Oryzias latipes: one gene and its partner. Each later gene encodes a partner of the first gene's protein in a complex. Links are inferred from orthologs where the notes say so. Each region holds a gene or a part of one and is shown in the gene's direction. Other genes may lie near its edges. The genes, in order: pink1 and tomm5.

Region 1 (6,563 bases):
ATTGCACAAGGGTTGAAGGTGTTTTTTTTTCTTCTTACTTAAAAATCTGCTGATTTGTACTATTGAATAGCTGACACTGCAAATATGAAGAAAACGTTTACAGCTGACTATAACAGTCTGACATTGGCTAAAAGTAAACACTACTTCTTGTGTCCTCACAGGGCGACTCCGGGGGTCCGCTTGTCTGCAATGATTACTTTGAGGGTATTGTGTCCTGGGGCATCAGCTGCGCTAACCCATACTACCCCGGCGTCTACACCAAAGTGAGGCAGTACGTCAAATGGATCAACTGGATTATTAACAATGACTCTCCATGAGCCGTCACTGAAAAGCTTGTTCTCAATATTGCTTCTATTGTTTGATGTAAAGGTAACCTGTTGATCAAAGTTATGTCAAAAGGGGATTTGGGGTCAGTTTTTTTCCACAATATATTGTCCCTCGTCAATACATGACATTGAGAAGTATCTGTAGAGGTCAAAGGTTAGTCAGTTAGTGGAAACTTTTAAAATGACTCATTTGACTCAAATCACAGATACAATTTGCCACACAGAAGCTCTTGATTTTGCAACTTTGCACAGAAACACATTGGGACAAAGAATTGACATTTAAACCTTTCTAGTGCTATTACATCTAAAAGACAATCCAGAATAAAGCATCTGATGACAACAAAGATGAGCTGTTTGTTTTATTTTTCAAAGTGTTTCCATTTTCTTCAAGCATTTTATTTTATTCCTCATCATAAAAAATAATAAAAAATTAAAGAAGATCTCTGCCTCTGAAATATGTTTTAGGAAATACAGAAGACCCAGCATGGTTGGTGACTACCTGAACCTATAATAATTCATAACCAAAATTACTCACCATAAAACACATTTTAGACTGCTCCTTTAGGAAATATTTAAAGATGCCAGACATTTCTGACCTGTAAGTGTTATAAAAAATCAAATATCTGCTTCCAAAACCTTTGTTAGATAGGTTGCATAAATAATTAAACGTTAATGAGATTGCTTTATGTGATGAATATCTTTTTTTTTGGTCCAGGAAATTTCTTTCCGTCATCTATATTCTTAAACTGCTGAATCCCTTTTGGGGTTGCTGGAACGTTCCGACTCATGTTGAACAAAGGCGTGGTGCATCCTGGACCAGTCGCTAGTCAGCAAGGCTCAAGAACATTCTTTTTTCTCTGTAATCTTTGAGGGCAAGATTTTTTACCCATAATATACACTGAAAATGCACAGAGGCTTGTTTGGCCATGAGATACTGAAAAACAAAACCCAAGCATCAAAAAATCTCCTTAAAAGAAAAAAGGAAAAACAAACCAAAGCCAAATTGCAGAAGCATAATATCGATTAATAATTTAATTTAAATATATGAATGAATTAAGGAACAGTGATGTTAGTATTGTTCATATTTATAACAAGGATCATGGTCATAAATGTAAGAATTGATGTTATTGTAGGGATTTTGAATAAGCACAGACGTAACAATTTCATGGTGAAAATAACAATAGAAGGAGTAATAGGACTGATTTTGATTTTTAATAACCTATGTGTGCATTTCCATTAACACAAAAATTAATATGACCTTGATATGGTACCTGCAACTGTACCTGTAAAAGTTTTTTCACTCATAATTCAAAGTGACATGCAATTCTCAATAGGCAATTCAATTTTCCATTTGATCACACATTTTGCAATTGGCATTTCAATGCATTTTGTGATTTAGAATTCAAAATGAACAATAATTAAAATTAACTGTCACGGTTTTTTGATACTACAATTCAAATAAAATGCATTTTGCAACTTTTAATTAATTATGCTTTTTTATTATTTTATCATTATGAATTCTAAATCGCAAAATGCATTTTAAACTGGGACTAAACAGGGATATGGTCAATTCAGAATTGAATATTACTTTGAGTTATAGGTGAAACAAAACTTCCATATCTTAGAGACTTAGGGACATAGTCTGGAAACCCCCAGAGAAAACAAAGTTCTAACATTGAGGGAAAGAATAATTACAAATAAAAAAAATGTGTTAATCAAGCTAATGTTGTTAGCTGATTTAGATGTATTTATGCATTTGTCATCATATACTGTGTTAAAAATAACTTTTATTTCTGTCACATCATTCCTTTAACCTTCCAGTGCAAATTCTGACCAAAGCTCAGCAGGAACCTCCAAGTCCTACCCTGCGTCTATGGTCCTGCTTCAATAATACAGTTTTTATGTCACAAATAAACTACTTATCATTATAAAGACAAAAGAAGAAAATTAAAATTAATATCCAAAGAAAATAATTAACTTTCCTTAAAATGCACTGGTATTTTCCCCGCCCCTTTAAAATCATTCTGCCAATCCTGCCTGTTTCTCAGGATGGGTCAAGGGGATGAATATGATGCATTCAAAGTATATCCGTAACTAGAAAAAAAAAACAATGATGCTGGGATCCAAACAGCTCTAACTCAGTTTGTTACAACAATTACCGTTAATTAAAAATATAGACGATAATTTTAACTGCACAACACAAAATAAATGCGCTAAGGTGCTGAGGCCTGAAATATACAGTATTGTGGTTCCCACTCGTTGAAGGGGGCCATGAATGTATTTTATCTAAACCAATGACCATAGGTCCTTTGCGCATGCTCAGTAGCATTTGTTTTGTTTAACTTTGCTCCTCGCGGCAGCTGTTTGAGGCTGACCTGCATTCCCGGGGCTTTAAAACGTTTCTAAAAACCCTTCTGGGCTCACAATGTCTGTTAAACACGCTATTAGCCGAGGGCTGGAGTTGGGCCGGTCGATTTTTCAGCTGGGGGTCCTGAAAGCAGGTAGTCGGGTCGCAGCGAAGCTCCGAGCTGACCGAGTTCGTGCGGGCCCGGCCTTCCGGACCGCTCAGCCTCAGGCTTTCCTGCCTCTCCGATACCGGTATTACCGCACCTCACTGAGGGGTCTGGCAGCTCAGCTCCAGTGGGCTGGCTTCGTTAGGAGGTTTGCCGGAGGTTCACCGCGGAACAGAGCCGTCTTTCTGGCGTTTGGCCTCGGTGTGGGATTAATCGAGAAGCAGATTGAGGACGACAGGCTGAGTTTGGCAACGTGCAATGAGATAAAGGTATGAATTCCTGCTGTCATTTCAGTCTGAGCCTCAGTAGATCTGACATTTTATATTTGCGTTTTTTATAGCGACTGTTTTATGTTAAAACTTACTTAAAAAAATCATCGATTTTACTGTAATTTTATAGAAAAAACAAAATTTAGAACATAGCTGTGTAAATCTGTTGTTCAAATAAAATAAATTGACAAGTTTAATTCTTTCATTTATTGGGTCCAATGAGGTTAGTATTTATTATAGTAAAATATGTATTAATTAATCATTTTTTATCTATTTTAAAAGCGTTTCCAGTGGTCTTTTCATTAGGATTATTCCATTTAAAAAACGTTTGTTTTCTTGGACGTAGTGTCTGCAGTAGTTTATTAGAAATTCACCCCTGAGTTGTGGGCGGGACTGTTGCCACGGAGCAACCCCGCCCCCTTTCCTCTCCCAATTGCAGAGAGCTCTCTGTTTACATGCTCTCCCGCTAGCTTACAGCCCCCACACCCTCATCCCTAGCAGAAATGGTGAGCAATATTGGAGCTATCCAGAGGTAAACGAACACGGATCTTTGTCTGCAAGTTGTTGCTTTGGAATGGAGCAGAGCAGGCAGCTTGTGACCTGCCCAGCATGTTTTTTACATCACAAATACGATATTTTTTCAAACGGCATTGTTTCGTCTGCTCCTGATACATGTCAATGTGAAATGAACCGACAGTACAAGCTCATCCCTGGAAGTGACAAACTAAGTTATGCTGCAACTGACAACAACACAAACTTAAACTTTAGAATAGAATATAACTTTATCAATCACTTGTTACAACCTCTTTTGACAACGGCAAATAAATAACAAAAAAAAAATAAAACACTAGAAAAATGAATAACAATAACTATTGACCAGTGTCAGGTGTTAGAGTCTAATATCTGACAGGAGGAACGATCTGCAAAAGCTCTCATTCCTGTAGCTAAGTGTTCAAGTCTCTGACTGAAGGAGCTCCTCAGTGCACCGATTGCAGTAAATCCTGATGATGAAGAGGAATGTCCAGAATGGAGCTGGATCTTCACACTGTTCCTGTCAGTGCCATCATGAAATCTCTACAAGAGTCCTGCAATTTCTGAAGGACCTCAGTCTCCTTAGCCTCTCCTGCCCTCTGGTCGCTTCTCTAGCAGCATTTTGTTGTTGCCAAGCAACAACAACTGATTGTGTAAATCAGCGGTGTCAGAATCCAGGCCGTGAGGGTCCAACATGTTTTTCAAGCAACCTGCCATTGAAGCTCCTTATTGGCTAAACACACCTGATCCACAAGTCATCAGCAGCAGCAGCAGATAAGGCAGGATTTTTGGGAAACCAGCAGGAGGCCGGCCCTCGAGGCCTGGAGTCTGACACCCCACCCCCCCACCCCCCCCTCTGCTGTAAATGATGCACCTGCAGCCCGCTTGAGACCCAGAAGGGGTGGAAATTAGCCCAAAAAGGGGTGACATGCATGCCATCACACTGATTATGTGAAAAAATATCCATGTCCATCAAAAAGAGGTCAATAATATGAAAGTAACAAAACAAAAACAAGGAAGTTAGCCTGAAGGAAAGTAGAGTAAATGTAAACCCATTAGCAGTAGTTTTAGCAAAAATAACTGGTTTGATGCTATTAGGTTTGTATGAATTCATGAGACAATTTTAATCAATGATACCACGCTGGTAGTTTGTCAAGCTTCTTAAATCTCAGAGCATCGGCTTCTACAAGGCTGTTTTAGTGTTAAAAGTTAAGTGTATAATTGTAGATTTCAAAAGGACACTTCATTTACATACCAAAGTAAAGACTTTGAACTCTGCTTTAATGAAACCTGAATCTAATTTCTCCTGAACTGCAGGCGGTGTTCAGAAAGAAGAAGTTCCAGAGCCCGCTCAAGCCCTTGGCCTATGGATACAAACTGGAGGATTACATTGTAGGAAACCAGATTGGGAAAGGATCCAACGCAGCTGTGTATGAAGCTGCACCTCAGTTTTTCTGCTCCAAGAAAAGCGATGGTGAGCCCGCCGCGGTGCAGATACGAGACAGTGAGGGCGAGGAAGGAAATCGCGTCATGCCATCTCTGAGTTGCTGCTCTCTAAGGAACTTCCCGCTGGCAATCAAGATGCTGTGGAACTTTGGGGTGGGTCATGGCCAGCACCCATGTATGTGGGGAGGGGAAGAAAGGTCGCTTTCTGACCGGTGTTGTGATTCTATGTGTTTGCAGGCAGGGTCATCAAACGAGGCGATCTTTAGATCGATGTCCCATGAGCTGGTTCCCACAGACCCCCTCGCTCTGGCGCCAGCAAAACAGCAACTTACTTTAGACGGGTAAATATGTTAACGAAGTCAAAGGGCTGCAACGAATCATTACTGAACCTGATCACTAGCCACAGTTGGGTGTGTTTTATTCGGGAGGAGGATGATCGGTTAGCATGACACTTGAATAACACACTTGAGGTACCGTAACTCTTCCACCATTTACGTGACCAACTTGTATCAGCTGATTCTGACGTGGAGATAAGCGGCTTTTCTTAGCGGCTTTGCATAGATATGTAACGTATTATGAACGTAAAGGGTTGCATCACAGCAATTTAAAAAGATGACAAAATCCATCAGAGTGTATAGTGGCAGATATGAGGCCATACTGCCTTGTGGAGAACAAGGGATTTGAATATATACCGTAAAAGAACAAGCAAAATCCCATCGCAACACAAAAATCATTCTAGAATTTTAAGAGCATGTAGAAGAATTATCTAGTCCAGAGGTTCTCAAAGTGCGACCCGGGGGCCAATGGTGGCCCGCGGGAAGATTTTTTTGTGGCCCTCGATAAAAGAGAGCCAGAGTAGGTTCCTTTGAGGAAAAACGTGTTGGCGAGGAGAAAAGGCGCTTTCAAGCTAAGTGGACAAATGCTTACTTTGTCGTACCTCATGGGCTGGATAAAGTCATGTGCCTTATTTGCAAGCAAAAAAATCATCACTATGTCACAAATCATAAAAACTATGACAACCGGCAAGGAGTGCAACTATAATCTCCAACAACTACAACGAGGCTATGCTGTACAGCAGATGTTTACAAAAATGGCTACATCCAGTGAAGCTGTGACAGAAGCTAGCTACATTGTGGCTTTGGAAATTGGAAATTTGGTCCAGCAAAGCAAGCCCTTCATTGACTGGGAGTTTGTAAAAACAATGTATGCTGGAAGTAGCTGACATTGTATGTCCAGATCAAAAGAAAGTCTGTCAAATGAAACTATTAACAGACGAGTAGAAGATCTGGGCAGCAACCTCCGACCGCAACTGGGAAAACATCTGGAGGGCCTGGTTAATGGCATTTGGTCATTAAAGTTATTAAAAACAACTTTTTTTTTTTTCACCAAAATTGGCCCCCAGTGTAATGTCGAGTTCATAATTTGGCCCTCTGCTACAAAAACGTTGAGAACCCCTGATCTAATGGATTATCCATTGC
Region 2 (5,848 bases), on another chromosome or scaffold:
AGAGAGAGAGAGAGAGAGAGAGAGAGAGAGAGAGAGAGAGGAGAGAGAGAGAGAGAGAGAGAGAGAGAGAGAGAGAGAGAGGAGGACTGGCTGACTGGCTGGCTGGAGAAAGTGGGGCAGAAGAGCAGCCGGCAGAGTAGATCCAGGCTAATGCTGTCATGCAAGCATCAAGTCTGTCCTGATGTGCGAGTTCTGCCCGTTGTGATTTTCCTCTGGCGGAGTGACCTCAGAGCAAGTCGCATCACATGGATGGAGCGCACATTCCTGAGTCACAACACAAATGCCCGCAGCATAGGACAGCTCTCACAAACACGCGCGCGCACAGACAACACCTAAATGGCAGATGGAGCTCAAAGCGCGCAGCATATGATGCCGTTAAATACCGCAGACTCGGTCGCAGAGCTGCGTGGGATCACAGAAGTCTGAAGCGCGATGAGCGGTCAGATTGTGTCACGTCATGCATTAAACGAAGGCCCCAGAACAACAAAAACGCATTGTTCCGGTCTAGTTGTCTGGTGCTGCGTTTGACATGCCCCGCACGGCACGGAGAAAGCGCAGCACAGAGGGTTAAATAAATAAATAAAAGACACAGGAAAGACAAAGTAAAAAAAAAAGATGTGCGTGTGTGGTACCCAGCGTACTGGCATCCCCATATCCGTGCGTATTTATCCAATCCGCGATCAGTGACGGTGACTCCACTGCGCAGACGAAAGCGCAGATTTCCAACCCTGCTGCTCCAGACATGTGTTGGCAAATATGGAGATTTCAATATAGTAGAGTGGTCGGATTGAAATCGCAGCTGTATTTAGGCTATAAGGCGCTATAACGCGGTAACGCGGAGATCATGGATCTTCTACTCCTTGATGTTTTATTAAGATGATCTGTCTCCACATATTTTTACAGTATAATCATTCCGATCAGTGGTCACAGCCATGCCCTATAGGAGGCCAAACAAAGACGAATAAGTGGTCAGTCTGTTGTAGCTTTCTTTCTAATCTTAATCGGATTTAAATCTTACCACCATCTCCCTCGCACCCTCACCCGCCTTCAGTCAGGGTGGAGTTGATCGTCAACTCAATCTCTCATTTCGATACGAAGGAAATTATCCCCCCCCCCCCCCCCCCCCCCCCACACACACACACCACAAAAGCAGAGCTGGACGGACGCAGGGTGGACACGCGCTCATCAGACAATAACCGAGTGGGGCTCACCTCGTGGTTTGATGAGGAGACAGACAGACGCAGCGCGCGTCTGTCTGGGAGATCACGGGAAAAATCGAGATCGATTGATGCCTCCAAAATATCCGCCCCGGCCAGATGATGGTGGTGGCCCTGGCTGCGTGCTGGATGCTGTCATCGGGGCTGCTCTCTGCTCTAATCCGCGGCCCTGAGCTCAGGAACAACCCACCCCTCCTCCCCCTCCTCCTCCTACTCTGGGCTCCCTCTCTCCTCCCAACCTCCATCGCTGACTGCTGAACACCCCTCCTCCTCTCCTCCTAAAGGTCGTTAAAGCTTTTAAAGTAGTTTTAATTAAATAATATAGAACTAAAAAGAAGATTTGGAGTAAAAAAAATAAAATAAAATAAGACACAGTGAGACCAATTATCTTTCTAATAAACAGTTGATATTTCCATCGATAAAAATTACGTGTCGATAATAAACAGTATGAAATTAAATTTCTGGAACTTCTTGATAAAAAAAACAAATTTTTCCCCCCAGAAATAATTATCCAGAAATCTAGTTTAGCCAAATAAAGCAACACCCAAAAGTCCCACTTTGTGTGTCACGTCCACTAAAATGCACCCAAATCATCTGAATAATTTTATTACGAATTTCTAGATGTAAAATGTTAAATTATTCATTTTATTTTATTTTATTAGTGTTTGAAAAAAACGGGGGCAATACCATCGACATAAATAAAGTACGTAAAACGTAAAAAACAGTAAGAGGGAGGAAAATGCCCCCATTCATTTGGCTCAAATAAATGTTTATATTTAAGAAATGTTATTTTTAACCTAAGATAAACATTCAACTCAATAGAAAGAACACTGTTTTTAAATCTAAACACATTTTAATATCACAACAAAAAATGATACCTGAAGGATAAACTACTGAGGAAATTTAAATAAATCCAAAATTTAGAAAGAAAAAAAGATCGCTAAAACAAAAACAGCGATCACCTTGGCGAGTGCGGTTTGACCCTCCGAGGCTGCCATTCTACGTCAGCTGTGACGTATTTCCTGCCAGACTTCGTCCACCCCGTCGTCGCAAAGCTATCGACGGAAGAAATTTGACCCCAAAAAGGTTTTTAACCAAAGCTGAAATGTTTAAACTTGAAGGACTCGGTCCGAAAATGGACCCAGAGGAGATGAAAAAGAAAATGCGAGAAGACGTCATTTCCTCTGTACGGAACTTTCTTCTTTACGTCGCTCTGCTCAGAGCCGGTAAGCGTCCGCAGGTCACAATCTGTACTGACTTCTACACGTGTTTCCTCCTTTATTTGTTGTCATAGCATCGTTCTATCTCCGTGATCGATTATTAGTCTGTTCACACTGGAAGCACAAGCTGATTTTAAACACTAAAACAAAACAGGGATAAAACAGTTAAGTTCTCCTCTTGAGTGATTTGTTGATTTCTTATGTTAAATTAGAAAATTATGCATTCAAATTTGATTAAAATTAGTCTAATTTTCTATTAAAGGTGATATTTTTTAAATGCACATTTGCTTTTATGAATCGTAATTATTGAAAATAAAGATTAGCCTAGTTTATCATTAAAATAATAACGGTTCAATGTCAAGCTGTTTAAGATTTTATAATTAAAAAAAGTTCTGTTGTAATTGCAGAGATTTTAGGAAGACCTGTTTGTAAAAATTAAATGCTAAAAAACAATAAATTCACTCCACAAACTCAGCCAGAGTTCAAGTTTTTTATCCAAACTCTATTGCCATGTTGTGCAACATCTCAACATCTTTATGTGTTTTTTTTTCTGTCTGCAGCCCCATATGTGCTAAAGAAGCTGGACAGCATATGAGAAGAGGCCGAAGTCCAGCTGGATTTACCACCATCAATCAAGAGATTCCAGCATCAGAGACGGCGAGGACCTGCAGCAGATGTGGGCCATTGAAGCATCTCTTGTTCTTCCATCACTGCTTCAAAGATCTTTTTTTTTTTTTTAGTTTTGTTAAATGTTTTAAATGTCTGTCAGCCTTTATATTTAACACTTACTGTTTGTTAAGTGGAGAGTTCTGTTCAAAGAAATGTCTTTTAGTTGTACCGCTCAATAAATGGAAACAATGGTAATTTATTTGAGCATCTTTTTTATTTTCTTTATTTGTTTTTTTTTTATTCTTTTGTTTTTGTTATTTCGTTTTGCGATAGTGTAAGCAGGCGTAATTTAACAAGCATTTTAAATTCCTTGTTTTTCTCAGTTGTTTAATTTTAGAGCCAGAAGTTTCTTATTCCAGGTGTTTCTGGCTTTAAAAAGCTTCCCTAAAACAATTTTATTAGACCACTATGTTGTCATTCAATTATTAGATTTTTTATTATTTAAAGGTGTGGACGAAATAAAATATTTTGTTTTTCTCTATATGGATAGACATGCCTTTGTCATTGTTTACTTGTACAATGAGATTGAAAGCAGTCACAATATCAAGAAAAGACAGTATGTACACAATTTAAAAATGTCAGTTATGTGCTTACAGTGATTAAACAAAACTGTATATTGCAGATAAAGAAAAAGAAAAATTAAAGCCGTTTAACAAGGAGGTTAAAAAAGTATTGAAGTTTAAAAGAACAAATATGTTAATATAAACATATACAGTACATAGGTATGTGCCAGCACAGGGTGTTAATCCAGGAGTTTACGAGGGTTGTTGCCAGAAAGTTGTTCCCCTCTTCGGCACATCCCATAAGGGGTCGCCACAGCGAAACAACTTTGGGGGAAAAAAAGGGCTGTGTCTGCATTTAAATGAAGAAGCAAAAGCCTGCAGAGGAGTTAGAATTAAGACAATACAATATATGTTTCTATTCAATTTCAAACAAGAGAATTTTTAAAAACAGGTTTTTCTTTATCTTTGCATTAGTTGAGCTTTACCAAAGAATTGTGTATTATTTTTATTTCTAGCTTTTCTTTCCCCCTCCAGCTGGTCTTATAACAAAAAGAATCACCAAATTAATTGTTCTATATTCAGTAAGTAATTGCCAAGTAATTACTGTTATAGCCACTAGGGGGCAGTGTTGTTTAACCAAAGCGTCGATTAGGCAGCGGCATCCGTAACAATGGATGCTGCATCGCTCGGTTGTTTGAACCATCTGGCTTTATAATTACGATAGATCGGTTTTTAATGTATACTATAGTTTAGGCTTCCCTATCCGCTGCGTGGACTCATGTTTTACTTTTTGGAGACTATTCTCGCGTCTCCTCCGCATCCCTCGGTGCTTTTCTGCCCGCCCATTTTCCACAGCATCTCCAGGGCAGCCATCGCAGACGATGCTACTCTGAGCCGTGATCTACGTTTCAGCTGATGCATTGTAGGACTTGTAGGACTGTTTACCTCCTTCATATATTTTTTTCCACAGTAAAGTGGTGACTGTCCAAGAACTGACACTGCAGCAGCAGAGATGGACTTCCCAGGTCATTTCCAGCATATTTTCAGTCAGCTCAACCACCAGCGCCTCCACGCTCAGCTCTGTGACTGTATTGTGGTGGTCGGAGATCAGACCTTTCGAGCTCACCGCTCTATCCTGGCTGCCTGCAGCTCTCACTTCAGGGCTCTCATCAGTTCCTGTGACAGTGCCGACGGAGGATCAGAAGCAGACACATCTGCTGGAAACAGAGATCCCTGTGTGATGGCGCTGGACCCAGAGGTTGTGACCCCCGAGGCCTTTTCAATCCTCCTGGACATGATTTACACCTCAACTCTTTCTCTAGAAGCCTCCAGCGCCATGGATGTTTTGCTGGCCGCGTCACACTTGCATCTCAACACTGTGGTCAAAGCCTGCAAGCTCCACCTTTCCAGGAAAAACTTCCCAACATCAGCACCGAAGGGTTGGAGGTCGGTGAAGAAGCAGTGCCAGTGTCCGTGTTCGCAAGCAGCAGCCGGCTCCCAGCAGCTGATCATATTAGACCTGGATGATGAAGAAGAGGGAGAGGAGGTGAGTCAGTCAGGCGGAGACAAAGAGAGCTGTGGGAGCAGAGAGCAGAGTCTGGAAACGTCTTTGAGACAGAAGAGAAAATCAGAGGACAGGCCCAACGACAGGAAGAGATTCCATCGACTGCCTGGAGCAAACTATAAGGAGCGTTCGCCTACTGTGACCAGGAGCACTGAGGAAAAAAGAGGAGAGGAGACATCATCCCAAGATAGCCCCCCAAAAAGCAACGGAATCTGGGGAAACCAAGGTTTCGATGAAGACGAGGAGAAATATGAAGCAATGAAAGGAGAGTCGGAGGAGGTCCAGCTGCCAACACAGTCAGACAGCACCACAGGAGGCACATTGTGGGGGAATAGTGAGGATATGGATGGAAACCCAGTGGTCAAAGTAAAGGTGGGAAAAGAGGAGGAGGAGGAGGAGCTCAAAATGCAAATACTGGAGGTGAAGAAGGAAAACGTGAGCGCGTACTCCTCTGATCCAGAAACGTTGCCAAACAATTCCCTTCCATCCCCCCTGCATGACTGCACAAATCATACGGATGTGCATCTAAATGATGAGAAAGTGTCAATGTGTGGACATGCAGGAGGGGATTTACCATCCCTGCACACCGATGGTCAGACAGATGCACAAAGGCAGGTGGGGGATTTGGGTGAAGTCTCAGTGGATGGAGAAGGTCTGGATAGCCTCTCTGAGCTT

What was found.
Region 2: the proteins of pink1 (region 1) and tomm5 are in contact, whole or in part, in a cryo-EM structure (PDB 9EII), measured with the Homo sapiens proteins. The link is inferred for Oryzias latipes from reciprocal best matches to the Homo sapiens genes PINK1 and TOMM5. Residues at the interface, in NP_115785.1 of Homo sapiens: Gln484, Ala488, Gln491, Ser495, Lys496, Pro498, Val502, Lys520, Leu522, Lys523, Leu524, Met527, Glu565, Cys568, Gln569, Ala571, Leu572, Leu573, Cys575, Ser576, Trp577, Ala579, Ala580; in NP_001001790.1 of Homo sapiens: Met1, Phe2, Arg3, Ile4, Gly6, Leu7, Ala8, Lys10, Leu11, Asp12, Pro13, Glu14, Met16, Lys17, Arg18.

The regions. Positions count from the first base shown.
Region 1 is NC_019865.2:23,687,824-23,694,386, forward strand, and holds the start of pink1 (serine/threonine-protein kinase PINK1, mitochondrial), read left to right. Parts: upstream 1-2,639; 5' UTR 2,640-2,751; coding exon 2,752-3,108; intron 3,109-4,956; coding exon 4,957-5,238; intron 5,239-5,322; coding exon 5,323-5,426; intron 5,427-6,563. Other genes in the region: trypsin-2-like, read left to right, coding at 162-317. UniProt on the Homo sapiens protein: Serine/threonine-protein kinase which acts as a sensor of mitochondrial damage and protects against mitochondrial dysfunction during cellular stress.
Region 2 is NC_019868.2:15,856,567-15,862,414, forward strand, and holds tomm5 (mitochondrial import receptor subunit TOM5 homolog), read left to right. Parts: upstream 1-2,215; 5' UTR 2,216-2,322; coding exon 2,323-2,443; intron 2,444-2,997; coding exon 2,998-3,032; 3' UTR 3,033-3,305; downstream 3,306-5,848. Other genes in the region: zinc finger and BTB domain-containing protein 5, read left to right, coding at 4,622-5,848.